Tamandua tetradactyla: one gene and its partners. The protein of the gene in region 3 interacts with the protein of the main gene of each other region in a pairwise test. Links are inferred from orthologs where the notes say so. Each region holds a gene or a part of one and is shown on either strand. Other genes may lie near its edges.

Region 1 (7,394 bases), on a different chromosome or scaffold from region 3:
ATGTTTAGCACATACCTGGCTGGATGATGGTGCCTAGTTCTGTTCATATATTCATTGATTAATTCAATAAGTTGTACCAGGCTGTCTGATAGCCATTATAGATAAGTAGATAGAAATAAACATAAATATGACATAGTCTTTACGTTAAAGTTTCATACTTTAGTATAAGAAAATACATGTAAACAAATCATTACAATAAGATGTGGTAAGTGCTGTAATAAAGGTCACCTGGGAAGATTTTCCAAAAGAGGTGACCTCTGCATAGACTGTACTTGAGGTGGTTAAGGAGAAACTTGAGGTGGAAGTGGGTAGGGATAAGGCTCTCCAGCTAGAAGCAACAGCTTGTAGAAGTACACAGAAGTGTAAAAGAGCCTGGTCATCAAGCAATTGGGTGTGGCTAACTGTGAGGTGTTTGTAATGAATGGTAGGCCTTGACTGGGATAGTAGGTGGGGCAAAGATAACAGAAAACCTTTTATGCCATGCTAAGGGGGTTGGGTTTGTTCTGAAAATTACGGGAAACCACTGAAAGGTTTTAAGTCTGCAAGTGACCTTTTCAGACTTATAGAAAAATATCTGTAGAGATTGTGAGGGTGAAGCGGAGAAAGAAGCTATTTATTTGATCCTGACAACCATCCTGTGAAGTAATTACAGCAGATATTTTAATTAACATTTTATATATAAGGGACTAGGGCTCAGAGATGCTAAGTGGCTTGCCTAAATTCTTCTAGGTCATTCCAGAATTGAGGAAAGAGAACACTATGTCCAGATAGGAATGTAGGCGGAAAGTTCTATGAGTTTACCATTAGTTCAATCATCCCAGCCTTGAAAATAATCTTAAAAAACTGATTCTAGTTGCACTACTGATTCTAAATTTGACATAACTGATTGGATGGAATTTATAGCAATCTGAATCAGCTGCTTTAAAGCATCACCTTGCTCCATAATATGTTTTTCTATTTCTTGGGCAAAGGCCTAGGTCACTTGTGTTTTCTAACATTATTTTAAATTTTCTAAATCTTAAACTCCATGCAAATGACCCATGGAAATAGTCCAATATTTTTCTTTGGAGTTAATAGAAGATAACTCACTTTAAGAAACTGATACTTTTACCCTCTAATATTTTAAACATTTCAAAACTGTCGGCACTGCCTCAGATCTGTTTCTTCTGATATTTGTGGAACATTTTAGGTGACAAATATTTGTGAAATAAAAAGGTTGACTTGTTTTTCTTACCCTTTCAGTTTTACAAATAAGAAAAAGCCAATAAATTATTTTCTTTTCCCCAAACATGTCTCTAGTAAATAAAGTTTTCAGAACATGTTATTAATTAGAATAAAAGTTAAGAATTAAGTACACAGAAAAATGAAACAGTAGGTGGTTACAATTATTCCTGGAATGTCTAGATTTTGTTAAGAGGTAACAAGTCTGTACATGCTAGCAAGAAAAGGTCAGTTAACTAATTTTGTCTCTGTAATAGCGGTTCTTATAGGTATCCCAGGAGCTAGCAGCACTTACATTACCTAGGAACTTGTTAAAAACGCAAATTATTTTTAATTTTCTGTACTGAAAAATTTAATTTTCTGTATGGAAAAATTTAATATTCTGTACTGAATCAGAAACTTGGAGGTAAGAGGGAGGCCTAAAGGTGATCCTCATGTAGGATAAAATTTGAGACTCACTGGTGTAAAGGAAAAAAGCGTATGATTTAAACTAAGAAAGATATGGTTTCAGTTCCTACCTAAGCTCTTTTAGTTTGCTTATGCTACCAGAATGCAATATATCAGAAATGGGTTGGCTTTTATAAAGGGGATTTATTAAGTCTACAGTCCTAAGGCCATAAAAATGTTCAAACTAAGGCATCCAGAGAAAGATACATTGACTCAAGAAAGGCCAATGGGGTCTGGAACACCTCTGCTAGCTGGGAAGGCACGTGGCTGGCCGTTGCTGGTCCTTTGACTTCTGGTTTCAAACAGCTTCCCTGGGGACATTTTCTTTCTGCATCTCCAAATGTCTCTGTCTATGTCAGCTCTGAGCTCTCTCCAAAATGTTCCTCTCTTAAAAGGACTCCAATAAACTAAACAAGGCCCACCTTGAATGGGTGAGGTCACATCTCTAATCAAAAGGTCACACCCATATTTGGGTGTGTCACAACTCTATGGGGACAACTTAATCAAAAGGTTACACTCCACAGTATTGAATCAGGATTAGAAGAACAAGGCTTTTCTGGGGTTACATCACTTTCAAACTAGCACATCAACCATGTGGTTTTGAACATGTCGTTTAATTTCCCAGAGCCATGGCTTCCTTATCTGGTTAATAACTTATGCTCTTAGTTAGTCTTATGAGTATTAAAAAACTACCTGTGTCACTTGTTAATTTATTTATTGGCCATCTGCCATCTCCAAACAATCCAGATGCATGCTTAAGAGAATCACTGGTCTAGAGGATATCACAATTTTGCAGGGCCAAGTGTGAAGTGAAAATGCAGGGACCCTTGTTCAAAAATTGAGAATTTCTAGGTGGTGATAAAAGCACTAAACCAAGTGCAGGGTGCTACTACACATGGAGCTCTATATGACTGCACAGATCGAGGAGATCTACAACATACAATCTTGTACGTACATCTCGTAGTACAATTTTGTACTACAAAAGCGGAACGAGTGATTTCTGCCTGCATCAACCCACAACTTTTCTTTAGATGGAATTTAATAGATAAAGCCATACAAGTAGGCTAAAAGCAGCTCTAACCACCCACCCAGATTACCAATCTAGCCATTGCCCACCATAGATAGACCATGCTCAAAATGCCTTACAGGCAAATTAATTCACTTTGGAGCCAGAATGTTCACTGGAAAAAATGGATAGTAAGATCTAGCTTATTGGGTTACTGTGAGGATGAAATGAAATAATATATGTAAAGCCCTGGCATATATAGGCACTTATGAAATATTAGTTCTTACATTCCCCTCTCCTTGACACACATGATTTTTGCTTCAGAAAACAGACCAGTGCTGAATACAAAGGCAATATTCAATAAATAATTAGTGGTTGATGGAAAAATTCATCAGAAGATGTACAAATTTTATTTTTAACACATTTACATGTACCCAGAAAGTAAAACAATCCTTTGTTGAATATTTTACAAAATGTTAACTATCATCCCTGACTGGTTTGTAAATTCTTATATTTCCATGCTGACTTTTTAAAGTATAATTTGGTAGAATACTTGGTATTTTCAAAGCATTTCACATCTATTAGGCTATTAAAGTCACTAATAAGGTTGAAAGAACAAATATTCTTATTCCCAATGAAGAGATGGGGTAGACTGGGCCAGATAGATTAAGAGACTGCTCTGAATTACACACCAGGGTAATTTAGTATACACAAAGCTGGGTCTGACATTCAGATCTGCAGACTTCTTGTTCAACATCTTTCCATTAAACCAAACTACCTCAAACAAGCAAAAGTATACCTGTAATATATATACAGGAACTTTTTTTTTTAATTGACTACAATAGTATGAATGAGGCTATTTCTTTCCACGCCGAGCTACAGTGAGCTCTGGAAGTTTGCTGAATGGAAAAAATACAAGATGCTTATGACAGCTCCTGGCTCATAATAATAGCTGCTTAGCAATGAATGAGTTTTTTTTTTTAAATAAACATTTTAAAGGAGCCACTTCCTCCCAATGAAAAATTAAGGACGAGGACAAGGTTCATTATTTTTAGGACTGTTTCCATTTGGGGCCTAGCACATCATGCTGAAACTACTGCCTCCCGTGGTGCAAACCACACTTTGCCTGCCAAACTTATGACTCAAAGGCCCTTTAGGGAGTTTTCACAGGATCGCAGCCACAGCCCGGGAACCCAAAGCTGTCCCCACGAGAGGCAACCAACCAGCCCCCTAAACCTGAGGTCCGCTACGCGAAGCGCTCCTTATAAAAGGCGAACGAGCAGGCAGCGCCCCCTTCTGCTCCCACCCCTTTACGTCTGCGACACCCAATCGCTTTACGGTGTCGCCGCGATCGGCTCCTGGGATTGGCCAGGAACCGGACTGGCGGGGGACCGATATACGCGGGTCCAGCGCTGAGACTTGTCCGTCACGTGTGGCAGCCGGGCCTCCCCGCGCGCCTGCCGCGGCCGGCAGTGGGTGGGGGAGGGGGCGGGGCCCGCGCGCCGCTGCGCCTGCGTGGTGGGCGTTCTCGGCGAGCAGCTGCCGCTGCCGCCGCCGCGTTCGGGGCTAGAATTCGGAATCCCTGCGCCTCGTTAACAATGAAGCAGAGTTCGAACGTGCCGGCTTTCCTCAGCAAGCTGTGGACTCTCGTAGAGGAGGCCCACACCAACGAGTTCATCACCTGGAGCCAGGTACGGGCCGGGGCACGGCGGCCTCGGGGACCCCTGAACGGCCGCCTCCTCTCTTCTCCCTCACCTCGGGTTTGTCTCCCGCGGCCTGCGGCCCGACGCGCTCTGCGAGGCCTGGGGCGGCGCGGCGCCTGGGCGTTCGCCCGCGAGGGGGACCCCTGGCATTGTTCGCGCGGGGTGCCGCGGAGGCAGGGCCGGGCTCCGCCGCCTCAGGCCGCGGTGGGGGAGGGGCGGCCCGCGCGGGGCCCGGTAACGGTCCGGCCGGGGGCGCGTTCGGAACCGGCGCGGGAGGCGGCGGCCGGGAGCGCAGGAGCACGTTCCTGCCCACGCACCCTGCGTGCGCCCGCGTGGCTCGCCGAGAGCCCGGGGTCGCCCGCGCGGGGCTCTGTCGGGGGGGATCTTCGCCTCGGCACCTGATTCTCCTCGCAGAAGCGCGCACGGCGCTTTACGCCCGGCGTCTGCGGAAAGGAGGCAAATGTTCAAACCGAGGTTACTGCGTTCCAGTAGGTTTTTGAAATATTACGTTGAAAGTGAAAAATGATTCTTTGAGGACTCTCGGCCTTTTGTACAGCTTTTTAATGATTGTTTTAATAGAAGTGTGACTAGACGGGTGATTCAGTAACTTAGGAGCTAAAATGAATCACCAAATTTCACTCCACTTTACGAGCTGAGTGATACATGAATGTCTTGATTACTGATTTGATCCCAGCTCTGCCACTGAACAAGGATGACCGGAGTCGAGCCCCCAGGCCTGCCTCTTATCAGGATGAGTGGGTTGCCTAGGAGAGATGGAAAGCCCCTTCCAGTTCCAAATACTGAGATTCTAAGAGTGGGTAGATATTTACATCAACCGTGCATTTACGTTAGGATCCACTCCTAGGCTGTTGGGATCAGTTTGTACTGGGAAGTAGATTTCTCCTATTGTGAATAATCAGTTTGGGATATTTTCCTGTGTCGAGTTCTGGAGAAAAGTAAGTGAAAAACTACCTGCACAGTGCCTGGCACTTGTTATGCTGAGTCAATGTTATATCCCTTCCTCCCTTTTCCCCCCATCAGGAAACACAATATTTAGTACATGTAGTTTGGGATACTGTAGCACCACGTTTTGCCTTGTATTTCTGTCATTTGTCCATTTTTTATCTCACTCCTAGGATTTAATTTTCTTGAGGTCAGTATGGTCACCTGGGTCATCATTTTAGCCCCGGGGGACCTAACGTTATATCCTATGTTCTGTTCTTAAACATTTGATGAATTCTGTACAATTCTACAAAGAAAGATGGAAGTAAGGAAGCCAGGAGCCAGCATGTACTTAAAAATAAGCAGATGTCTCATGCTTCTCATCAGTCAGAAGGATTAAAAGTTGACAAGAATGGATCAGCACAGGCTGCTGTTATTCAACCATGTGTTCATGATAGAGATTGGACTGAGATTCTCCACCACACTCCACCCTCCCCCAACTAACTTGATCATACCGTTTTGGTTTGTATAAGCCTTATTTTTGCTGCCTAGAAATGTTTCCCAAATGCGTTGGTTTTATTTAAAGGATATTATGTCAGTGGCAGGTCTAATATATTCTCATTAACCAAAATATCTTGATAGTATTCTTATTTTATGGAAAATGTCAAATGTGGAGAGTTTCATACTAATTCATAAATACATCATTTATGAATAAACAGTCACGTAAAATCATTCTTGTTTGTCCTGTTACTAAGTCTAAACTTAGCTTTAACTATGCATTTTCTAATACACCAATGGGATAATTAAAATTTGAACTCCATGAGGGAAGGAACGGTGTCTATCCCCGTGATAAAATAGGTGCTTAGTAAATGTTTGATGCATGGATGAAATCCCCATAGTAGATGTAATGGAAGTGGTAAGAATGATAAAGATAGAATTATCCCTGAAAAGAATCTAAGAGATCATCTTGTTTAGCATTATCCTTAACGTAGATGAGGATTTGAGGCTTTTTACAGTGTTTCGATTACTTATCCATTACACAGCCAACCAAGATTGGAGGTAAGACTCTAACATAGATGTCCTAGCTTCCAAATAGGCTTTCCATCAGCAGCACTACACGTAATGCCTGTTGGTAGGATATCTAGGTTTATACCAAAATGTTGTTCCTCCACTTTCACAAGTCTGTGGACAACTCTGGATAAATCCTATCTAGGACTAAACTAGTTACTTAGGGCTGCGATCTCTCACTGTTGCTCTTGGATGCGTTTTTCTAAAACCCATGTTAACACTGAAAGGTAAAATTTGAATTAAATAGTGATGTTAGATGGAAGAACAAATTAAGCTGCTCCCATTTTTTAGAAGTTGCTATTTATGGTTGCTTCTGGATTTCTTCAGACTCGTTTTGCTAAACTTACTGTTGAGGTAATTTAACATTTATACTATCTAAGAGAAAATATATTAAGTTTTTTTTAGACGCAGCAGATGTTTTGGAAACCAGGCAATCAATCGTCTATGTAAATTTTTTCTAGTCATGAAAAATAATTTACTTGTCTAGCTTGAGTGCAAGTCAAGGGGAGTAAACTACTAACTGAAGTTTTGAAAGCTTAGCTTAGTATTTCTGAAAACTTTAAGATAACTTTAGTTTTCCTTGAAACATATAATGGGACAGAATTGAAAAGTGAATTTCTCATCATTAAATGTAGAAATATATCCTGAGCAACCAAAATTATTATACTACATGTTTTGACCCTAAAATAATAGAAACATCTATATATTCAGAATGCCTTTAAGAAAACATATACTGTGCATATTTCACTCATTCCCATAGTCTTCCCATGGAAGTTGCTTTTTTTTTTTTCCTTTTTTCTTTTGGGACATTTTCTATAGCTTCAAAATTTTACATAGCTATTTTTGGCTCTGATTAGGAAGTCTACTGCGAAAATCAAGGGCAGAAATAGTACCGTCAGACAAAAGTAAATCTTTTAGATATAACAGAGTCCTAAAGAAAGGGTAGGGATTTAGATTTGAAGCAACTGTGGAAACTTGATAGGGGAAGAGGTTGTAAAGATTAAATG
Region 2 (7,974 bases), on a different chromosome or scaffold from region 3:
CTTCAATGATCAAACCCATCTGCTATGGTTTCCAACAAAAATATGGCTTATCTGCATAAGTAATACAAAGACAGCTACATTCTGAGAAGAAACTACACTTTCCTTTCAACCAATAGTCATCTAAATTACTCCCTCCTAATGCAATCTTCTGACCATCCTTAATTTCCTTTCAGTAATTTTAAGTTGAGGAAGCCAGTGTTGCTCAGCTGATCAGTGAATAAGGCTGTTTTTTTTTTTTTTTTAAAGTAAGCTCAGTATTGAGTTAGTTGCCAATCAAGGGAGAAACACGTCACATGGTACTCCACTGAATTTTCTGAGAAACTTAAAAAAGCGCAAGCTATGCTATTTATTTATCTCCACCATTTCATCTGTTAAACAGTATGAGTGGGGAAAAGAAAGATTTCTTAATTACTTTTGTAAAACCTGGATTTTTCCTCAAGGCATGCTTTAGACATGAAACCTGGTATTTTGGTAAACTTTGGGCAAATTAAGCCTGAAAATAGTTACCAAGAATTGCTTTCATTTACTCATTCTCAGCCTCCCACTGCAAAGTGCTTGAGATAACTGAAAGGCAGCAGAAAGCGAAAAGGAAGCTCACTTTTTAAAAAGCTGAGTATATGAATGAACAGAAAATAAAAGTTAACAAGTTCCTGGAGAACATGGAAAGCATTTTAAACGTTCACAACAAAAATTTAAATGGGATTTTCAAACTCTCAGAAATCTCAGTAAACCTTTGAACTGTCTTGAAAACTTACTGAATTTCCGAATTCATAATTTATCATGTATAATTATCAAACAGATTTTAACCCTTTAAAAAGTAAAAGTTTCTTTCCGGGAAAAATGTTCTGTATTTCTCCCATCATTTAATAAAACATTTGGTAGATTATATTCATAAATATATTCTTATCAGTGTTCTAAATTTTACACATTCAGGTCAGCATCCTATTTTTACACAGGGACTGTTTATGAATCAAATAACATGACAGACATAAAATCCCTTGATGACAAAATTACATGGTAACATCCTCAAGCTTGAAATACTAATGGTGCCAATTATTTTGCATAGCACTACGTTAAATAATAAATATATGTGAAAGTTTCAACAGGAAAACTACTCACCACCATCCCTCTCTCTAACTCTGTGAGTATGCACGTTTTTGGCCTTACTGTGACCTGTGCTGTCACTGTATTTGTTTTCAGGACTATCAGATCTCCGCAACATTTTATTTGGTGGTGAAGGATCTGCGGCGTCTCGCATCTTTTCATGTCTGTGATCACCACTACTGGGGTGACTCTTCGATGAATACTTAAGTGCCTGTAAAACATCACCCCCCCAAAAAGAAAGAGAAAGAATTGAAACTTCAAACTCTCTAAATTGATTAAACTCTAAAACTTGGTGTACTGAGCTTTATGAGTTTATGTAACAAAATTAAAATTCCCATTTTGAATTCTGCCCTTAAGTTAGTGAGGCAAGTCCCAAATGCTGACAAGTTATTATAAGGCTCCTGATATAAACCATAATATCAAATGAAAAAAAGAAAAAGAAAAAAATTCACTCCATTTTGTAAATACAAGAAACCAAACACCTTGGCACATACATTCCTTAATAAATTTTTCTGGGAGTTAATGTTTGAAATCCTTTTTTGCAAACTTAATCCAAAGAAAACTAGAAACTCAGTAATACTGTAATTAACTTCTGCTCTACAACTGCGTATCTTCATATAAAAGGCTCCTGATATAAACCATAATATCAAATAAAAAAAAAGAAAAAAATTCACTCCATTTTGTAAATACAAGTGTTTTTAACTTGAGCTTTAACAAGTCTTGATATCCAGTAACAGAACTGTTTCTCCAAGTGATTAGACTTAGAAACCACTTACACAACTTCTAGTGTCATCTGATAGTTGTCAACCATTTACCAGATGTCCCCCCCACTCCGGAAACCTCAGGCACACCTAACATAAATTTTTAAAACTTTACCAGTAACAACTGCAGTAACAAAAAAGAATTTACATACCATGAACCACATATTAGAGTGAATTATACAAGCATCCAAGGATCTTAATTTTTACAGTAACAAAAACTATCTTTCACATGTAAGACAATTACGTGCACTCAAAAGAAGTCAAATGCGGAGAAATAGTTCACAGCAGAATTCTGAGTTGAGTATCAACTGGCTCTCTCGTCCCAGGCCCTTGATCGAATTCTATTCCTTCTCATCAACTTCTAGTTCCCCAATACAACAGATGAACATGCCTCACAGCTTACAGCATCGATTCCTTCACACCCGAAGCATCAAGTCGGGTCTTCCTGGCTGCTAATGTTTTCTAATAAAAGTGAACTTTCTCCAGTCACCTGTCAAAATAAGTCACTAGGCCTCGTTGGAGAGCGCTCCCGGAACCAAACACAACATTTTATGAGGGCCCCGCGGTGCTAGTTTCGGATTTGCAGCACTGAAAGGCCTGTAGCGACTTCTGAAGCCTGCGCTCGAGTAGCAGTCCCTCCCCCTCCCCCTCCAACCCCTCCACCCCGGCCTCGGCTGGTACCTGGAAAGGCTGCGAGTCCCCCCTCCGGTCGTGACAGCTGAAAAACAGGAAGAGAGGCGGCGACATGAGACATTGAGGGGGGAGGACGGGAAAACGCGGGCCCCGGCCGCCCCTCCCCGCGGGCGACCTACCAGGCGGGCCCAGCGGGCAGCCCCGCACACTCGCACGCTCCCGCCCGCCCCGAGGAGGCGACGCGAGCTGGCCGCAGCCCTCCAGGCAGCTCCCGCACACGCGCCCGGCCCCCGCTCCCGCCGCCGCGCCTCCTCCAGCCCGAGCCGGAACAGGGTTAACAACAAAAATGGCGGCTCGGCCAGCTCCCGATAAGGAGGAACAGCCCCCCCGCGCCGCCGCCGCCCCCCGCCGCCCGGCCCGAAACGAAAAGACAATTTACCCATCACTGAGTCTCTGCTGTTTCCTCGCATACATTACCATCAATGCCCGGCCTGTGAGTGTGTGGCGGGGAGGGGGGACAGCAGCCGCGAGAGGCGGGCGGGCGGCGGGGCGCCGGCACCAGGGCCCGGCGCGCCCTCGGCGAGTCTCAGCACCTCCCCGTTACTGGAGCCGGCGCTCCCGGGCCATCTCCCTCCGCCACCACGCTCACTCTCGGCCCGGCCGGCGGCGCCAACTACACGGCGGCAGCGGCGAAACGGGGGGAGGGGGGCACCCAGACGCGTCCGGCTCAGCCCCGCGGAGAGCGAGTGCCTGCTCCGCCTTCCCCTCCTCCTGCTCCGCCGCCTCCTCTCCTCCTCCCCCCGCCGCCGCCGCCGCCGCCTGGTCCCTCTCCGCCTCCTCCTCCTCCTCCTCCTCCTCCTCCTCCCGCCGCCACCGCCGCTGGTGCCGCCGCTGCCGCTCCACCAACTACATCCGGGCAACTCGGACGAGGCCACCTTCGGCAAGCATCGGCAGTTTCCGCCTCGCTCCTCCTCTCCCGCCCTCTCCTCCCGCCCCTCCTCGCGCGGCTCCGAATACCGCCTTCGGCAAACCTCGGCTCACTTCGGTCTTCCTCTTCCTGCCGGGCCTGGCTCGCCTGCTCGGACCCGACGGGCTCCTTCCGTTTGCTGTTCCTTTCGTTCGCGCGGACGTCGGTGCCAGCGTCCCTGCTCGGGGCTGATCTTGCTGAGGGACTTGCTAGAGGCCGTTTGTAGGGGCTCCGGGATGTGCAGTCAGCGAGCCGCCTTAGAGAGGAGGGCGGCGGGGCGCGGCGGAAGCCAACGCAGACTGAGGGAGGCCGTTGCGGCGCGCCTGCGCCCCGCGGCGGGCGCGGGGAATGGCGGGTGACCTTGGGCGAGCCCTCGGGCCGCCAGCCTCTTCCCTCCGGGTTCGGGGTGTGGGGTGGTCGAAGACCCCTCGGTGAGGCGAGTGGAGGGCGGTTACCAGCAGCTTTCTTTGTTTGCAGCCCTGGGAAGCGGCTCTTAGGGAAGCGAGGCCTCTATAGAAACGAGGCCTGGGCGCCTGGCTCACGCCGGACGCGGAGCGCAAGACCCGCGCCGGGCCTGGGGCTTTTACTACCACGCTCGTCGGCATTTGAGAAGTAAGTCACACACCCAGAAGCATAAAGGAAAGAAAGCTTTCTAAGTGAGAACTGGCAAAAGTGAAAGAGTTTATGGGTATTGAACAGATTGTGAGAAGGCTGTGTGTCTGCGCGGCTGTACGGTGGGGATTCCTGGATCGAGGAGGGAGAACCACTTTGGGCAGTTAATTAAGAAATTGGATTAAACTGAGATTCGGGGAAGGGCTGTTTGGAAAAAGCGTTGAGCCACGTCATTTTAAAAGATATTTTCCATCTCGGGCCTGGGAAATTGGCTGTGCCCTCCCCTCACTCTCTCCTTTCTTTGTTTCCCATTTTACTCTTTTCTAATGTCTCTTCCTCGATAAGTTCTTTGGCGAATTAAAATGCATTTGTAAATTCCGTGCTAATTAAAAATGTAACAGATTTTTGTGTGTCATTATAGGCATAATAGCAACATTGGTAAGTGGGGAGCGGGGAGTGTCGAACAGATACGCCAAAACAACAAAATGTACTTGAGGGCGGTGCCATTTAGGTGATTTTTTTTTCCTGTTAACTTCTTGTTAGGCGATCATGCAGCATTGATTTAACATGAAGGATTGTAATAAACATAAAGTAAAAATACAACCATTATTTATAGTATATAGGAAAACAAAGCAAACTGGGAAACAAGAGACATTCCTCAAAAAAAAACATATCAAAAACTAACTGAATTGGTTGCTAACAGCTTAAATTATCGTTGGGCCTAATGAGATGGATGATGGAGAAAATGACCCTGAACTCTCAACTGATTGAAAAAAATAATTATATAGCCTTATTAAATCCATCTACCAAATGTTGAAGTTGTTGCTGTTTAAGAACTGGAGAAAGTCTACTTAATGCTCACATAAACTGAGTAATTAAGACAAAAGCTGCCCGTGACTGAAATAGCTACCAGTCCTCGATTAAAAAAAAAACAAAATCAGTTCAATAGTAAAGTCTTTTGTACACTTTTGAAACAAATACATCGAGGGCAGGGGACATCAGATTAGAATACAAACGTGATTTATTTTATGATAGTCAAATGTCTTTTGCTGATAATGCTATATGAACAAGAGCACTGGTCTGAGCTATGGGGAAAACGTGTTCCTCACTGTTACGCCCATTTTTTTAAAAGCTCATCCCATTGCTCAACTTAGAGTCCATTATCTTTTCTTATGAATCCTTCCTTGCAGATATTCCCTACTCCTTTCACCCCTCTTCCTCTACCTTACGTGTCTATACCACAGTCCTAGTTAATTACTACATATCTAGGAGAGCAGTTGAACTGGACAAAAACACACAGCTAAACTGACTCTGAAGTAAATCTCTTCATGCTCCTCAGCCTTCAGGCTACATTTCCCTAATCCATTCACTTTATTCTTCTTTCTAACTGTTTCACATCTAAGACTGCCAGTGTCATTCCTCAATGGTGTCACTGGTAGCTAACTAATTATTTTGCATTTTTCTGAGAACAGAAGGAATCAAAGCAATAAAAACTTCCACCTGCTTTAACCATCGTATCTATCAGCCTTACTCCATTTGAATCCATATGTAGTACTGCACTGTCACCCTCAAAAATGATAGATAAACTAAGTTTCTATCTAAAACCAAACTTCCGCTTTGTATCGACTTCCATTTCATTCTTTATCAATTTTTTTCTCAAATGGATCACTTCTATCAACTTAAAACATGCTGTCGTACTTACCATCCTCAAACAAAAGCTCAGCCTGTATCTTTTTCCAGATACTGTGCCATTTCTCTGCTCTCCTTTACAAAGAAACTTCATTTCTACTTCCAATATTACATTGTTCTGTATCCACAACAGTCAGACTTCATTCTTACATGCCATTTACTCAAGATAATCAATACCTTCCATGTTCTCAAATCCAATTTTCATTTTTCAGCCTTCATCTCACTTAGCAGTGATTGACAGAGCTGATAGATTAACTCCCTCCTTCCTGAAACTCCATACTTAGCTGCCAGGGTACTACTATTCTAATTTCTTTTCTTTCCTACTGGCTGTTCCTTAGAGTCCTTGTCTAACCCTCCCCTAGGGTTAAACTTCCACAATATGATCTGCCTCTCTTCCCTGTACTCTCTCCCTAGGCAGTCCCATCATCTGTAACTGGATGGGACCCATGTTTGAGTCTCTAGCCCAGATCTTTTAAATACCTACCTGTCTATTCTAGTTGATTGCCCAGTGGGCATCTCCACTTCATATCTGCAGAACCACACTCTTTAATTCTTCCCCAAAACAAGTTCTGCTCAAGTTTTTCCAATCTCAAGACCTGTCAGATCCATTCTTCCAGTTGAGGCTAAAATATTTTGTCATCCTTGATTCTTTCGTACTTCACATAGACTCCATTAGCAAAGCCTGACAGCATCACCTCCAGAATATATCCAGAATCTGATCTCTTTTCACAAGCCACCATCGTTTTTTACCTGAACCTATAGCAGTGGTCTCTTAAATGAGCTCGTCCTTCTTCCCTTGCTTCTGTTTTCTCCCAGGGCAGTCAGAGTGGGCTCGTTAAGTCACGTATCATTTCTGCCTTAAAACCCACCAATTGTTTCTCATCTCACTCAGAATAAAGGCCAGAGTTTTTTGCAATTACCTGCAAGGCCCTGTGTATATTGCTTCCACTGGCATTACCTCCAGTAACTTGCTTATTCTGCCTCTGTCAACTCTGTCCTTCTTGTTACTCCATACCAAACATGCCTCTGCCTCAGGATTTCTACAGTACTGCCTCTTTGCCTGTTATACTCCTCCCTTTTGTACCTGCTTGGCTCACTCCGTGTCTCTCTTCTAATCTCACCTTATCAGAGGTCTTTCCTGGTAACTATGTAAATGGCATTCCATCACCATCTCCCAAACCCTGCTGTATTTTTCTAGCAGCATTTACTGTCTAATTTGTTACATATTTTGCATACTGGTTTTCTCCCTTCCACTAGAATGAAAGCTTCATGTGTCGCCAGAGAAAGGCAAAGGGTTTAGGTTGTAGCTTCCAATCTTGGCTGTGCCTAGTGTCTATTATCTGAGGAGACTTAAAATTATATACTGTTTGGGAGATACAGAATTTACCTCTATTGCCAATTAATGATACAAAAAATGATGCCTACAGGATCTGTTACTACATAATTCACATTATTATCCCTGCCGAGAGGAATATAGCTTATATTCTAGATGTGTGATCGAGATATGCTTCCCTCCTATCATAAGCCAAATACGAGTTCATTCAATTAAGGAGGAAAAATAGGACAACTGCAACAAATAACTATTTAGGAAAGGACAGGAGAACCTCCAGGATACCGCCATATCCAATAAAAACCCATGATAGTCAAAATCATATGGATCCTCAGAAGATATAGGCAGTCTTACATTCTTTACCTAATTTTCACCCACTCCAAAAGGTTTTTCACATTTTCTTTTCCAACCTCACTACGCCCACCCTCATTCAGCAGATAATCTCACGACCTTCCAGACTAAACCTATCAAATGGAAATTTCTTCCTGCTTCCAAATATGCAGCCCTGCCTACCTCATCCTTCAGTCTACTCAACAGATATCTATTAAGTACTTGCTGTATGTTCTAGGCACTGTCTCTATCTATTAGGGATGCATCAGTGATTAATACAAGATATAGTTCTTTCCCTCTTGAAGCTTATATTCTGGTGGGAAAGAAATGCAATAAAATAACTGGTAAAGTGCCAATGTACTTAGAAAGTAGTAATTGCAATGGAGGATAGCAGAAAGTGATAGGAATGTTGGATTGAGGAGAAATATTTCAAATAGCATGGTCATTGAACAGGAAACATTTGCACAAAAACTTGAAAGTGACAAGGGAAGAACCGGTATGGGTACCAAGAGAGTTGTGTTCAAAAAACAGTGTGATTAAAGGGTGGT
Region 3 (7,661 bases):
TCAGTGCTTTAGGGGCAGAGTTTTTGTTTATTTTGCTCATGGTTCTATACTAATGCCTAGAATAACAGCTGGCACAGACAGACACTCAAAATTATTTGTTGGGTGGGTGTATAAGTGGATGGATGGATGGGCAGATGGACGGATGATAAACGGATGGGTGGATGGAGGGATGAGGCAAATGGGTTGGTGCGGGAGGGGTCAAGATATTAAGGTCTGAAGATACCTGAATTCAGGTGTGAACGTTGAAATCGTGTCAGAGATAAAGGGAAAATCCTCAACCCTTTTCTGCAGACATTCCTGTGGTGGACACAGTGAGGCTCCTATTTACTCACCACATCTGCTAATGGGGACAACCAGACGACTCGTCCAGTCCTTCCCAACCTGCACTGGTTTCCTGCAGGTTCTTCTCCAGGTCTGAGTTTGTTCACTCACAGTTTAAAATTCCTATCAGAGACAGATCCCAAAAAGATCTTCTGTGGAGCTGACATTAGCTGTTCCTATCAACTCCTATTAAAGAGGTGTCCCCTTCCTTGGCAGCCCACCTTGAGATATGCAAGTGCTTTAACCCACTTTCTCCCCACCCTGCTCCCATCCGGGTTTTTCTAAGCTTCAGCTCACACTCAGATCCAGGAAAAGTGCCGTTCCTGAGACAGCAAGGCGGAGGGCCGGTTCCCCACATAACCACTGACTCCCTGCCACCCCCCAGCCCCGGGACACAGCAATCTGCATTTCCTCACCTGGTCAACTGCAATACCTCTTTAACTGTCTTTTCACAAGGCTACAAAAGTTAAAATAAGGAAAGGCAACTTTATGGGTGAGCTTAACATTGGCAAGAAATGGAGACTCAAGATTTGTGGAGCCTGAGGTTTACATACTAGGGAAGAGGTGTGGTATAGTCCTTCTTTAAACAGAATGCAAAAGTGCACCTACAGAATTAGGTTTGGCCACGTGGACACGTTGCTGGTGCTCCTCGCAGGAGGAATTCTAGGTGAGGGGCCCCAAAGCTTAAGCTTCATCAGCTTCCCACTCAATCCACCTCTGCTGGAAGACAGAAAGGACGACAGCAGTTTTTACTGCAGCACTAAAATCTCTAGAAAACCACTAAGCATAACAGTTTTCTATTGCATCAGTCCTCTGGATACTATTCTTATCTCTCGTTCACAAACCACCATCGCCGCTGTTCCCTTTAATTTGGCAGCAGCAATTCATTATACAACTGCATGGGCTGGCCTGGGCTGTGCACCCTTCCCCTCTTTTGACTAGCGATCTAGCTCTGTGTCAGTTATGTAATAGCCAAAACACAGTCGCAGTTCTTACATAAGCCTTCAAAATCAGATAGATATTTCAACCAGAAGCCATCTATAAGATATGCTCCCAGATTCGGACATTATACATGAAGTAGACAGAAAACACTGACTTAGCAGCCAGCTTTACTTCTGGTCTTAAAAACAATGAAAGCTCTTTGTGACTTAATTTATTGGTCTATATGAACATAAGGCTTTAAATTTGCTAGAGAAAATCGTCTTTAATAAGCCCTGAATATTTCATCACGTAAGCATAAAAGAACATCTTGACACTACTACTCAACATTCCCTGTTACCCCTGCACAATGAAATGTTCCGCTCAGGATTCCGGTAAGTAATCCCCAGGGAAGTCTGGGTCCCTGATAAAAACTATTCTTTGCAGTGTTTAAAAAAAAAAATTTAAGAAAGATTATTTAGACAAAATACGAAAGTGCACATGCTATAATTCATCAGCATATCTCTTTTCCAATACTTTTCTCTCGCCGTATTTTGGACTGCTTATGTCTGACTTTTCTTAAACCAGGGCAGCCACGCCTTGGCTGACAAAGTGATAAATGAAATAATATTCTCCGTAGCTCTCAACACAGGCTGCCCGGAGAAGCACAGGCAAGCTTTTAACATCACAGATGCCCAGGCACCACCAAAAAGCAATCAGAACAGACTATCAGAAAGAAGGGGCCCAGACATGGCTATATATGATGATTTCTACTTTGGGCTTCCTCTTACCCAAAAAAAAAAGTAGCCAAAAATAAGAGTTAGAGGCTTTGCTGAGGAGGTGGAGGGAGGAAGGTCTCTATAACTGGTAACTCCCAATTACTAAGTTTTCATCAGAGATCAAAACAAAATCTTTCAGAAGTCTGAAACCCATAAAGGACAGCTGTAGGATCCCTCTTATCACTATCAGTAGTAAAGACTCCTAACCAAATTTCATAACAGCATTTACAAAACCTATTTTGCTTTTTAATGCTTTGCAATTCTACCCAATGATTTATTAGAAAGGGCCCATGTTATCTTAAAAGGGTGTCTTCCAGCTAAGTGCACGCTTATCTTCCAGTAAAGTTTTGGTTTAAAGCAGAAACCATGATTCTGACTTATTCTCACCCTCTCTTATTCCACGCTCTGGGAATGACTTTTATAACTTAACCACCGAGCAAATATTTTTTTGAAAGCACTTATATAACAGAGTACAGGCGCCTTTGGTCTCCTGCCAAGAGCACTTCTTTCCGTGTTTGTATTTAAAATAGACTGGTAGTAACATCACTTGTGTGCCTGAAATTCCTTCTGTGCACAGGCTCAGAATGAAAAATGGAGGTAGCAAGCCGCTTGGTCCTTTACAGAGCTTGCCATTATAAAGCTCGCAGGAAATAGCACATTTCATACTAAAATAAGACGAATTCACAGCCCCGATTTTCCAAGGCTGGGGGAAGGTGGCACTCGGTTTCACGAACCTCCCCTCCCCTCTACAGCAGGGATGTCTAACCTGGCGGCACGCGAAGGTGCCCGAAAGGCTGCGACACCCCGGCCCGAGCAGGTGACCTGGGCAGGGGAGAGAAAGTGCCCTCGGGACCGAAAAGCCAAACCAGTGCGGCGCTGCCCCGCACTCCGGCCACCTGTCTCGCGGGGCTTCCGGGGCAGCTGCAGCGCCCAGACGGCCCCCTGCCGAGCGTGCCCCGGGTTCGCTCACCTGCGTGGGAAAGAGCCCGGGGAAGGTCCGAGCGGCCGCCGCTGCCCGCGAGCACCCTCTCACCCCGGGCCAGGCTCCAGGGCGCTTCCTCCTCCTCCTCCTCCTCCCCAGCTCGAGTTTTCCAGCGACCCCGAGGTCTGCGCTCCGCGGCTCCGCCAAGGATTTCAGCCCCGGGGGATCGACAAACTTGGCAGAGAGACCCGCGGGGCGGCGCAGGTGGCGGCGCGGGGGACGCCACGGCACCTGGAGAGCGCGGCCGCGAGACTGTCACCTCCGCCCGCCCCGCCCGGGCTGCGCCGGGAGCGCCCCGCAGCCCCCGCCCCCGCACTCACCTCGGCGCAGGCCCCGCCCGGGCCGCCGCCCCCGCTCGGCGCTGGGGGTCCGCGGGGGAGGGCAGCGGGGCCGCCGGCCGCACGCCCGGGAGCTCCACGGCGCGGCCGCGGCCGCCGGACAAAGACGAGCCGCGGGGCCGGCGGCGGCGGAGCCCGAGCCCCGGCGCGCCCCTCCCGGCTCGCGACGTGCGGTCCCCGCTGACAGCCGCGCGCGGGCGGGCGGAGGCGCGCGCACCCCCTCCCGGCCGCCCCCACGCACCGCCGAGCCCCCGGCGCCTCCGGCCGCCCCGCGGCGCGCGCCTGCCCGCCCGCACCCCGCGCCCCGCGCCCCGCGCCGCCGCCGAGGGGAGAGCCGAGCGCCCTCTGCCGGCCGCCAGCGCCCGCACCCGCGACACCGCCGGCTCCCGCTCGCGGGGGGCCCGTGGGCGCGGCCCCGCTCAGCCCCCGCCAGACCCCGGCTTCGGGAGACCCGAGGGGAAGGAGGAGTGAGACCGAGGGGAGGGGGGACACTGGGACAGATACCTTACGCCGAGGTCACAGCACGTCGGTTCACCCAAGGCAAAAGGTGGCAGCAACCCAAATGTCCACCCGCAGATGGACAAACGGAAGGTGTGTGCCCGCTGGGGAATACCACTCAGCCGTCCAAAGGAATGAAGTGCTGAGACGGGGGACAACGGGGATGAGCTGGAAGACACCATGTTGAGTGAAATAAGCCAGGCACAAAAAGACAAATGTGTGATTCCGTTTCTATGAAATATCTTTAATAAACAAATACATAGAGACAGAAAGTAGATGGGGGTGAGGGAGGAAGGAAGGGACTTAATGCTTTCTGGGTAGCAGTGCTTGAGGGCGTACAAAATTCTTGGTAATGGATGGTGTTGATGGTGCCACAGCATTTGTAATTACCACCACCAAAGTACACTTTAAATGGCTAAAATGGGTTTAAAATGACTGAAAAGCTGGCTAACAGGGCAACAGGGCAGCGACTTCCAGGACTGGCGTTCTTGGAATTATGTACAGCGAGAAGAATTGGGCGACGCATCGGGAAGAACTCTCAGATGGAGCCCAAAGTCGGTCTTGAAACTGTTTGCCTAAAAGGCAAATGTTGCTTTATAGAATCAGGTCTTTATTTCTGTGTTGAATAAGCACCAAGTGTGCCTAACACTGAGAGAGGGATCCGTCAGCCTTGACAGATCGTATGAATAAATCCATCAGTTAATATTTTCCGAAGACCTTGGGGTCCCACCTTCCTCTCCCCTAAGCAGGGCTCCTGAAAGACTTGACAGGGCAAGTGAGACCAGAGAACAGCTGAGCTGTTTAAAAATGCTAGGGTTCAAAAATGTTAGGTGAAATGACAATGTACTAAAGAGTTGTTATTACAAAAATGAAATGATGGTGCTAGTTTCTTGCACTATTTAGGTTTCTGTGTCTTTTAATGGGGATCTTTTTCTCAAACTACTCTGTTAAACAGTATCTTATATCGGCTAATTTTTTTGAACAAGCTGGACTTGGTGAAGGGAAATCTCGAAATACCATTTGATTTTGCCCCCACACTGCTGTGTTTTAAGTTCATTCTATCGGATCTCCCTGCTTCTCTGGAAGAATCTAGGGCAGATTTCATAGCTTTATCTGTCATTTCAGCTGTGAATAGCGAGTTTGGTTCTCTGGTATTAAAAAGTCCAGTCCAATCCAAATCAAAACTCCAATCTCCTCCAACTGCAGCTTCCCCACTCCCCTCCCACCACCTGTCAGCACCCAGAGGACCCACATTCTGAAGGCAGCTGTGGGGAAGACCAACCTTGCTCTACCTCTACCCCACCCCCACCCCGGCTCCAGGCAGCCTCGCTCCTCCAGGAGGTGGGCTGGTGGGGGTGGGAACCCACCTGCCTCCTAGCCTGCTGCTGACTACTCCGAGTCCCACCGCAGCTTCTCTGTCTAGTGGTCCACCTCACAGGGCCTTCTGGGGGCTCTGTGTCCTGGGAGGCAGAAATGGTTCAGACCCAGCCCCCTCCCGCCATGTCTGCTGCAGCCCGCAGAAATCCCCTGGAATTTTGCCTATCAAATTCTAGAGGTGCAGACCACTGCTCCTGCAGGATCCTCTCCTCATTCTGTGGTCACAGACAGCCTCCACCAGCCTCTCTCCTTGAAGCATTTCACGTAGGAGTCAAGGTTAATATATGTCCCCGAACTCCAGGAGATACCTACCAAACTCTCCAGCTAGTTCCCAAGAATCCCACCTTTCTTTGCACTGCCAAATAAAAATCAAATCCTGACCTGGTAAGGAGAGACCCTATTTGGAAAGATGATTTTAAAGGGGGAAGGGCTATTGCAATAGGGAGAACACCCGACCATGAGGTCTGCAAGCATCTCAGGACTGAGGGAAAAGGAGGTTTTCTTTGATAGGAAGGAAAGAACTGGGTGTAGGGTGGTGGGGTGAAAGGGTGACGGGATCAGAGAGTGTTCCAAGAATATTTTATGTCGGGGCAGCCTATTTACTGGGAGGTGCCCTGAAAGTTTAAGGGTCTGGAGGAAGGAGAGACACCTCAGCAGTTTGGTTATAAGCATTTTGTCCTGATTGCCCAGTGGAGTGGCGACATTTAGGAGGCAAAGGACGGGAGTTTGGAGGGTCTGCATCTGGTTTGTCATAGGTAAATCAGGGGGGCATCCCTGAGTCTTTTCTGAGTAATAGGGGGACGGGGGGCTCTTTGCAGAAAGCTGTTCTCCAGAACACAAATGGCAAGGAATCACTTAACCTCCGCTGATTCCCAGGATCACTGGCTCAGGTACAATAAACCCTGTCTGCGTGAACTGGGTGGGTCCTCCCACCTCTTCCCAACACTCTGGACTCTTTCCAGCGAATTCCCACATCCAACCTCCTTGAACCTTGTCTCATTTTCTTAAACTTGGGCTGAAGGTGGCAAGACCCTTACTTAGCAAATCCCACAAAGATGGTGCAGTACCTCGATTTAAAATGTGGAAATGGCTGTCTCTGTGGCCACCCTGGAGGTGTGCTCCCCAAACTACAGGCACGTAATGAACCAGCAGCCTCCAGGGCTCACACCTCCGGGCCCACCAAGGCACTGTGGTGGGGGGGGTCACGCGCCCCCTCCACCCCCCAGCTGTTCCCAGCCAACACCTGAGCCTGGGGGGAGGACTAAAGCTGGCCCGTTTGTGCCCAGTGCAGAACTCTGACCCGCAGCTCTTGCCCAAAAGCTCCTCACAGCCCTACCAGCTTCACTCAGGACTGCAGGACTGCCTGACCGGCTTCCTACACCATCTTCCTTCCTTCCCCTGTCCTTTCTCAGGTGTCAGACCTCGCCAGTCTGATGGCCCTACCCACTTACAAGCCAAGCTGCTTCTCCCTTCCTGCTGTCCTTCCCAGGTGTTTTCTCCAGTACATGTTTTGATCATCTAAATTCTTCCTGGCCTCTGCTTCTCAGAGGTCCAGCTGGCAAAGTCGCCTCTTGTTTCCAGCTGTTCCGAGACAAAGCCCACTTTAATCTCTGGGTATGTTTGCATCTAGAAACTGTGAAGAGAAGAGTAGAAATGTATTTTGATGAAAAAATAAAATGTGATCAACTGGCATTTTAGTTTAGGGTCTCCCTTCCCAGAGCAGAACCTGATGGAAGGACTCAGGGACAGAGTTTATTTCGGGAGGTGATCCCAGAAGCAGCCACAATGAAATACAGAAATCAAGAGAAGGAAGTTTGGAAAAAACAACATAAGGGTGTGGGACACAGGGCGGTGCAGCGGTGGCTCAATGGCAGAATTCTCGCTGCCATGCCAGAGACCCGGGTTCGATTCCCAGAGTCTGCCCATGCCCCCGCCCCCAAAAAAAAAGTGTGGGACACAGGTCCCTGCTGTACACAGCAGACACTCAGTACCGCTGGGTCTCTGAGACACTTAAAAAAGCCCTCCCAGAACTGTCATTTCTAGGATGGGGGTATGAGCATGTTGGGAATCACCTTTGGGGTGTCTACTCCCCTATGCTTCCGAGCACCCAGGGCTTTAAAGAAAGCCTTGAGGCAGAAAAGAAGGATGACCCTGGCAGCTTCCTCGAGGCAGAGCATTGTCAACTTGACTCCCAGCAACCAGTGTTTTGCTCATTAAAGCTGCAGCTGGAAGGCAGCCAAGGAGGTGGGGGCACAGCATCAACAGAGTCTGCTATGGGGGACTTAACCAGACCAAGGAGCAGGCGAAGGTCGCAGAGAGAGGGCAGAGGCATCTGCCTTATGCAACTGCAAACTGCTGCAATGCCAGTAGGAGGACTGAGGAAGAGCCAGTGGAGTGGTGGTTGCAAGTCATGATAGTCACTTGGGCGGGAGACTGGTCTACCCAACA
Region 4 (7,436 bases), on a different chromosome or scaffold from region 3:
TTCTTGGAGCCTGCTCTGGCCTTCGGGAGAGCAGTGTTACATTTGGCCTAGCTATAAAGACTGTGTGCACCTGTGTGCTATGTCTGCAAGATTTACCCAGCGCTCAGTCCTTTGTGGTTGTTATTCTACCCCAAACCATTAAAAGGGCCCTAATTCCTATGACATGATTATCCAGGTACCAAAGCCCATTTGTCACCTGCAGCAGAAAATTGAGTTAATGCACAACTAAAGGCAGCCAGGACTGTGTAATATCAACTTGATTACATCAAACTAGCTGCAAACCTAATTCTGCTGGATGACACTGCGTGGAGCTTGTCATCTCCAATCATTAAAGCTGTCAGGAATCCATCAGGTTTACAGCTAATTAGGTGAACACTAATGAAGCTGGCAAAACAACTTTTCTTTTTTTATGGCTGAGCGGACCTTTCAGTTTGGAGGGGAAAAAAAAAATTCTCCAGTATTCTCAAGGTTGCTGGGGACTGGGTTTCCAGTCACCAATCAGCAGACATCTTTCTTTTTCCCACTCTCTCTGTCTATCAGTACAAAGCAATCAATTTGTCATCACTCCCAGTATGCCACAAAAGCAGGCATGAACCTTATAACTTGCAGCTGTGTGAACTAAAAAAGGAGGAAAAAAATGGGAAGTTTCTTGTCTGTCCAAACAAAAAAACTCAGCTCACTTATTGGCCTGTGCATACTTATCCCCAGCCTAAATGTGGAGGGTTTTTCCCCCCTCCACTCTTCTTAAATAAGTAGCCCTTCAGTCATCTTCTACCCCTCCTCCACACATCCATTAGGCAGAGGCATTCTGATAAAGTAAATCCAAAACCAGGGTATGGGAAAGAAAGAAAGCACTCACGCTGCCAACTTCTGATTGACCATTAAGCTATTGATGAATGTGCCTGTCAGGAGAGAGACAATTAAATCAAATATGAAACAAAGTCGTTTTGACGGGTCATTTTGATAGAGCAAAACCATTCTTCCATCTCCTATTAGTTGTGCAGTCAAGTTTTTATATAATGAACATTTCTTAACTGACCTGAGATTTCCTGGCTGGCTTTTTCGAAGGTGCAGAAAGGTTACTGAACAGGTTGCTTTAAAAAACAAAACCAACAGTATGTTTCTTCCTTCTCTTAATATTTTTAGCAGAAACTTATCAGAGTTTCGTGTTGGCAGGGTGGAAGACGTACCACAGAGAGAGTTCTAAACCAAATGCAAAGATGTGATCACATATGGCTCACTTGATTGAGGCACACAGATACCTTAAAATGTATATCCAAAAAGGAAAGAAAAATCTCAAAGACTGGAAGAGGCCCAAGACCCTCCTACTGCCCAACTTTGCAAAGGATTCCTCCAAACTTTCAGAGTTTAATTTGTGCAGTTAAGTCTACTGCTTGAGCTTGGAATTTAAAGTAGAAGGTGGGTCAGGCAAGGAGCATCAGCCAGGAGGTGAGGTGGGAGGCGGTATTCTCTGTATGATCACTACTGGGATTTTCAGACTTTTCTAAATTTGGGCAAAACTGAGGACAGAGAGCAAAACCTGCATGACATATCCCACACCAAGTCTGTCTTCTTACATGATTTCCTAAAGACACAGAAAGGAAAATACATTTCTGAAAGGAGAAAGAATGTCATTCCCTTTCCCATGGCCCTGTTTAAGGAAACTATAGCCCAAAGTGCAGCCAATGTACGGAGATTACCATCACCATCACCATCACCATCACTGCCACTACAAGCACCCTCAAGGCATAGTGGTGCCACCTTCACCCCAGAAAGGCACCAGCCAAAGCTCTGATCCCTCCCTCCAGCCTCTCCTCTTCCACCAAAAGAAGAAAAGAGAAAAGAAAGGAACGTCTGCTTAACCCTCCAGTTCATGCAGCATCGTAACCTCTGCACAGCTGAGTGTTATTCATATCAAAATACATCACGTCCATATGTGGTCCTCTCGGCAATCTGCCCCAAATCCCCGAAGTTGCACTGACAGGGCCCTTGTGACGTCACAGAGCTTGGCCTCACTAGTGCCAGTGATTTATTGATGTTTATTGGGAATGAATAGATCAAAGGCAGAAGCATGACGGGCGATCAATCAGTCATCAAATCAAGGGTGGCAACGGGCCAGAAACCCTTCTTCCAGGCAACATGCCCCCAACCGACATTATTGCAAAATAATGTTGTGTGTGGGTTTTGTTTTGTTTTCAATAATGCTTTTTTACAGAATAGAAAAGAAAAAAAAAATCATCTCAGTCTTAACAGGAGTTGACACTCCTGGCAAAAGAGAGAGAGAAAAAAAGTACTCACACGTCCCAGAACTAAGTGCTTTGGGTGGGAGGGTGGGAGATGCAGCAGAGGGTGGAAAGAGAGGATGGAGGTAAGGGTAAACAAACGGGTGAAGGGGACGCCGGCATCTAACACTGACTGGACAAAATCATATGAAAATGCCCAGGCTCTCTGCGCTTTGGTTTCCACCGCTGTGCCCTGCTTGGGCCCAATAAATGAAGAATCAATTGGATTATCAGTAAAGGTGGCGAAAGGACCGGCTCGCTAAGCTCTCGCTCGGCAGGCACCCGGTGATCCCCCGCCGGCCGGCCAGGGGAGGACACGGAAGGTGTCCCAGGGAACTCAGGTGACCCCGCCCGCCCCCCACAGAAAGAGACGGACGGGGGCTCCTTTCCATCCGCTCCGCAGCCTGAGCGCTGAGGAGGCAGGGAGCCAAGCCGGCTCAGATCGCCCTGAGCGCGGTTTCCTGAAGTAGGTGAGAGAGGGAAGAGGACAGAGCTTAGCGGGGCGTCAGGGGGCCGCCGGGTACCCGAGCCCGGCGCACGCACCCAAGAGCAGAGCGGCGAGCGAGCGAGCCCGGCGCCCCGGAGTTACTCTGCGCCTGCAGAGGGAGAGGGACCAAGAGCCGGGCGAGAAGCCGGGTCGCCGCCGGCTGGAGGCGCGGGGCGAGGAGAGGAAGAGGAGGAGGAAGAGAGGAGGAAGGGGAAGCGGCTCGTACCTGCTGCGCGCCGGGGCGCCTGCTGCTTCCTCCTCGGCATGATGCTCCTCCGGCGACTGCCACTGCCGCCGCCGCCGCCGCTGCCGCCGCTGCCGGGCTGAGCAGAGGGAGGGAGGGGCGGCGGGCCCGCGGGGGGGGGGGGGCGAGGCGGGCCGGCTTTCAGGCTCCCCCCCGGAGAGGGGCCGCCCGCAGGATGCTGCTGCGCCCCGGCAATCCGCGTCCCCCCCTCTCCGCGCTCCGCCGCGAGCCCCGAACGTGCGGAGGGAAGGAGGGCGGGCGAGGGAGGCGCGGGAGGGAGGAGCGCGGGGGAGGAGAGGCGAGGGAGGAGGGGGTGGAGGAGGAGGAGGAGGACCGCGCTGCTGGCGGAATGGGAAGTTTGACAAATCGCTCCCGAGGCCGGAGGAGGAGGGGGCGGGGAGGAGTGCGGCCCTGCCCCCCCCCCCGCCCCGTCTCCAGACGAGGTGCGCGGGGTTCGGGGCTGGGGGGTGGGGAGAGGGAGAACAGGCGGGCAGAGGGGAGGGAGGAGGAGCGCGGGAGCGGCCCCGGCCGGCCCGGCCCTGGCCCCCTGCCCCGACCAGGGGGTCACGGCATCGGGGGGCGCGCAGTCGCCGCCGCGGCCCGGGGCTCAGCGGTCCAGTCTTCTGCCCGCGGCGCGGCTGGAGCGGCGGCGGCGGCAACAGGCAAGCTTAAAGGAAAAGGAGATGATCGTGTCACTCGCCCGCCCGCGGGGCGCCGCGCCCCCGTTCGCAGCCCCTGGCCCGCCCAGGACCCTCGCCCAGTCCCGGGAAGGGGTTCCGCCCCTCCGACCCGCCCCGTGTGCGCACACAGGGGCGCGGTGCTGGGACCGCCAAGCCAGTTCTAGAGCTCTCGCGACCCCCGCCCGCCCCGGGCCCCACCCGGCCTCGCCCCGGGGCCGCCCGGGGTTGCCCCGCCTGTCCTGCACTCCTCTCCACCCTTCGCGCCACCCGGGCAGGCCTGGGCCCTTAGGCGGGCGGGGCGACGGGTGGCGGGCGCCGGCCGGAGATGGTGGGGGCTGCTCCCAGACCCCGCTAGCGCCACCCCGGCTCCTCCCCCAGGACCCGCCGCAGCCACTTCCCCGATTTCTTTCCCGGGCAAACTTTCCCGGGCCGGTCCCGGGGGTTTGTGTGGGAGGGGTGCCTCCAAGTTTCCTCTCCTGACTTTGGGCAGATCGCGGTGGCTTCACCCCGCCCCTCGTCCCCAGTCGCGGGGCTGCATCTCCCCCCCACAACACACACACACCCGGACGCAGGAAGATGCGGGGGCGGGACGGGGCGGGGAGAGAACTCTGGACCCCAGGCCCAGAACCCCGCTCAGACCACCCGAGAAGGGTCTGCCGAGCGGTGCCCCTGCGCCCGGCCAGGTGCCAGTGAGGGGCGAGGGGCATTGATTATTGATTAGGTAATTGGGGTCGCCGAGGCGCCGGGCCGGCGGTCCGCAAGGAGGAGGAGCTGGCGGGGCCGACTTGGCCGCGGGGTCACGCGGGCTCACTCACGGGCGGTGGCGAGGGCGCGGGTGGGCCAGAGCTTAAGGGGGCGACCCCCGGGCCGCCGCGGTGGAGCCGGAGCCCTAGCCGGAGTTGCGCCGGCGGCGGCGCATCGATGCGCTGCGGGCTCGATTGCGTCTCCCTGGGCCAGTTCTCGGGCCGGGAATTGGGGCGGCCGCGGCGGGGCCGGCTCGGGGCGCTGCCGGGCGGCGGTGGCGCCGGCGGTGGCGGGAGCACGGGGGCTGCCGCTTGGCCCACCATCCCCGAGGTGGCCCTGCGCCCGGGCGCGCTGGCGGGGCCCCTGGCCCTTCCATGGGCCCCACGGCCGACAGTCCCAGCGAGGACCAGTGCGGCTCGCCCCGGGACTGACTGCCCGAGCGCTCCTGGTGCCGCTGACCCCAGCCTTCTTCCTTCCTTTCTTTCGGTTTTTTCTTTTCTTATGTGTCCTCCCTTTTCAGCCTCCTACCCCTTCTTCTTCTGCCCTTTTTCCTCTTTCTTTTTTGCTTTTTGGCTGTTTTGGCAAGTTTGTTTTAAAAGTTCACGGGCATGCTTTCTTTTCTTTTAGAGAAGGCGACCATGATCCCGCCCTGACGGTAAGATAAAAAGTCTCCGCTCGCCAGCAGCCCGCGGGCCTGGGCTCCGGGCAGGCGCCTCCCTGGCTGCGGATGGGCGGCCGCGGGCCTCCAACCTATAAGGCCGGCCTCCGCGCCTTCGCGCGCAGGAGCGCTCAGAGCTGCAGGCGGCGGACTCCCAGCTGGGCGGGGAACGGGTGGCAGGCTGCGATCGCGTTCCAGGGCAGGCCCGGGGTCGGCCTTGGGTTTGGGGGCACTTCGCGCGCTTGATATCTGCGGCCGCAGAGTCAGAGCGGCGGCCGCTCCAGGCCGGGAGACTAGCGGCCGTAGGGGCGTGAAACGCTTCTTGCGAGCGAGGAAACGGTGAGTGGGCAGACGCCGCCAGCCGCCTCGCCGTTCGGGTGGCCGCGCTCTTGTCGCGCCTAGCGGCTTTCCCCGGAGGAGAGAGGATGCCGCGCGGGGTCAGCTCCCGACCACCCCTGGCCGGCCCTGGATGTGCCCAGCGCCCACCTCGGCGCGCCGCTTTGCGGCTCGTGCCTAAGCGCTGGGCGCCGCTTATGGAAGCCTGGGGCTTTCGCCCAGGCTCGCGCTCTCCCTCCTCCTTTCCGTCTCCTCACTGCTCTCCCAACCCCTGTTTCCTCCGCCCCCCTCCCCTGCCGGTCGCGGCCTGAGCCCTGGTCCCCGAGTCCGTCGCCCCCGCCGGATCGCTGCCTCGCCCTCCCCAGCTCCGGCGCCCAGCGCCGTGCTATCCTCCCTAACATCTGTCCGTCCAACCATTGGCGCATCCATCAGTGTCGCGGCGATAGTCCTGTCACGCACAACACGGTCTATGCGGAGCGCACACCACGACCATGCCGCCTTGCCCAGACACACAAACAGGGTGCCCACCCGTTGGCACAACCTGGAACCTTGATCTCTACAGTGTTCTTTTAGTCACACGCATGCTCTTTAATATCCGGGCCCCAAACGTGAATCATTTTGAAGGCCATTTTAGGAATGAGACAGATGGAGGGAAGGGCATAGACCTATTCCACCAGGTTCCTTCTGCTCTCCTTCCGCAGGAAGGGAGACATCTAAAATCCACACCACGGACAGTGTAGATCCAAAAACTGCCTGAATGCGGGGGCTTAAAAGCATTTCAGCTTGGCCGCGGCTGGTGTTGTCGAGGTCGCTAGGCAGGGCTCGCACTCAAACTTTGCCAGGCCCGGTCTGGCAGCTGGTGACATGACCTGATGGGGAGGAGCAGTAGGGGAAGGAAGACGCGGACTTCTCTGCCTGATTTCCAGTGAGGACCAGGGTCTCCACTTAGGGAGAAATTGGGTCCTGGTGGCAGCAAGTCTGCAATTCACATGTTATTTACTGAAGGAGACCGGACGGGGAGGTATCTTTAGGGAACCAGAGACTAACCGGGAGTTCCGGGCGCTCAGACTCTTGAGAGTAGTGATCCTTCTGCTTGTGCTCCTTGCCTTACCTTACCGCCCCTTGCCCTACCTGTCCCTTGGGTAAACATATGCACATATGTTTCTGATCAATCCACTGGCCCGAAGGGCTTTGCTTGTCCTTCTCCAAGTACATCAGGAGGCCCGGCAAGGGCGCCCTAGGGGCCTGCACCTCGGACATCTGCGGGCCGCCGGTACCAGCATTTTCCCTGACTTTATTCCTCATGTAAATATTTCTGTCCGGGTGCCTGATGTGTTCTGTACCTCAGGATCGACTACACGGGAGGGTCAGAGCCCGCGCGGCTATTCCTTACGCACTACACGAGTTAGAAAGGAATCCACAAGCGCTTTCTGGCTGAGCGCGGAGGTCTGCGCGGTGCCAGAGGAGGCCAGAGACTGCCGCGGAGCCGCTGGCTGGGCGCCTTCCTGCGGGAAGAAGAGCACCGCGCGCTCTAGGGTGCAGGCTTCGCCCAACGCAGCCGGCGGCCGAACGGTCTTCATTCTAGACTACAGAGCGAAGAAGCCCGCACCCGGCGGCGGAGCTAGAATTCTGTAGAAGACGCACTGTGTAGAAATCTCTTACTCCACTCTGAAGAGTTCCAGATAGCTTTTGAAAAGCACCAACAAACCGCGTCCCCCTCGCAGGGACCGGGTGACTTTTTATCCCGTGTGAGTCACACTGAAGAGTAAACTCCTAAGTTCGTAAGATGCCCCCACCTCTTGGCCGTCCCGCGCTTCTGGAATTAATTTTTTTTTAATTCCTAAAATTAAGCAGTAGAAAAATAGGCTGAGGGTCATTGGAACGACTCATTGAAATGTTCAGTGGCAGACGCCCGTAGGGGAAACTGGCGTTGCTATGTAGCTGGGGTTTAACTTTTAAGCACCAGAACCTTGCCAAGGGGCTGGAAAACAACTCCTGAACCCCA

The links.
Region 1: the proteins of MTUS2 (region 3) and HSF2 interact in binary tests that used the Homo sapiens proteins (3 or more experiments, as listed by UniProt). The two-hybrid records come from large-scale screens. The link is inferred for Tamandua tetradactyla from reciprocal best matches to the Homo sapiens genes MTUS2 and HSF2.
Region 2: the proteins of MTUS2 (region 3) and WAC interact in binary tests that used the Homo sapiens proteins (3 or more experiments, as listed by UniProt). The two-hybrid records come from large-scale screens. The link is inferred for Tamandua tetradactyla from reciprocal best matches to the Homo sapiens genes MTUS2 and WAC.
Region 4: the proteins of MTUS2 (region 3) and TSHZ3 interact in binary tests that used the Homo sapiens proteins (3 or more experiments, as listed by UniProt). The two-hybrid records come from large-scale screens. The link is inferred for Tamandua tetradactyla from reciprocal best matches to the Homo sapiens genes MTUS2 and TSHZ3.

Annotation. Positions count from the first base shown.
Region 1 is NC_135331.1:183,475,177-183,482,570, forward strand, and holds the start of HSF2 (heat shock factor protein 2), read left to right. Parts: upstream 1-4,185; 5' UTR 4,186-4,272; coding exon 4,273-4,365; intron 4,366-7,394. UniProt on the Homo sapiens protein: DNA-binding protein that specifically binds heat shock promoter elements (HSE) and activates transcription. In higher eukaryotes, HSF is unable to bind to the HSE unless the cells are heat shocked.
Region 2 is NC_135327.1:222,265,656-222,273,629, forward strand, and holds the start of WAC (WW domain-containing adapter protein with coiled-coil), read right to left. Parts: upstream 3,023-7,974; 5' UTR 2,992-3,022; coding exon of another isoform or gene 2,981-2,991; 5' UTR 2,979-2,980; coding exon 2,938-2,978; intron 2,584-2,937; coding exon 2,546-2,583; intron 1,333-2,545; coding exon 1,120-1,332; intron 1-1,119. Other genes in the region: uncharacterized protein LOC143682789, read left to right, coding at 2,981-2,991, 3,023-3,824.
Region 3 is NC_135330.1:194,043,886-194,051,546, reverse strand, and holds the start of MTUS2 (microtubule-associated tumor suppressor candidate 2), read right to left. Parts: upstream 3,178-7,661; 5' UTR 2,989-3,177; intron 1-2,988. UniProt on the Homo sapiens protein: Binds microtubules. Together with MAPRE1 may target the microtubule depolymerase KIF2C to the plus-end of microtubules. May regulate the dynamics of microtubules at their growing distal tip.
Region 4 is NC_135342.1:35,719,140-35,726,575, reverse strand, and holds the start of TSHZ3 (teashirt homolog 3), read right to left. Parts: upstream 3,105-7,436; 5' UTR 3,036-3,104; coding exon 2,996-3,035; intron 1-2,995. UniProt on the Homo sapiens protein: Transcriptional regulator involved in developmental processes. Functions in association with APBB1, SET and HDAC factors as a transcriptional repressor, that inhibits the expression of CASP4.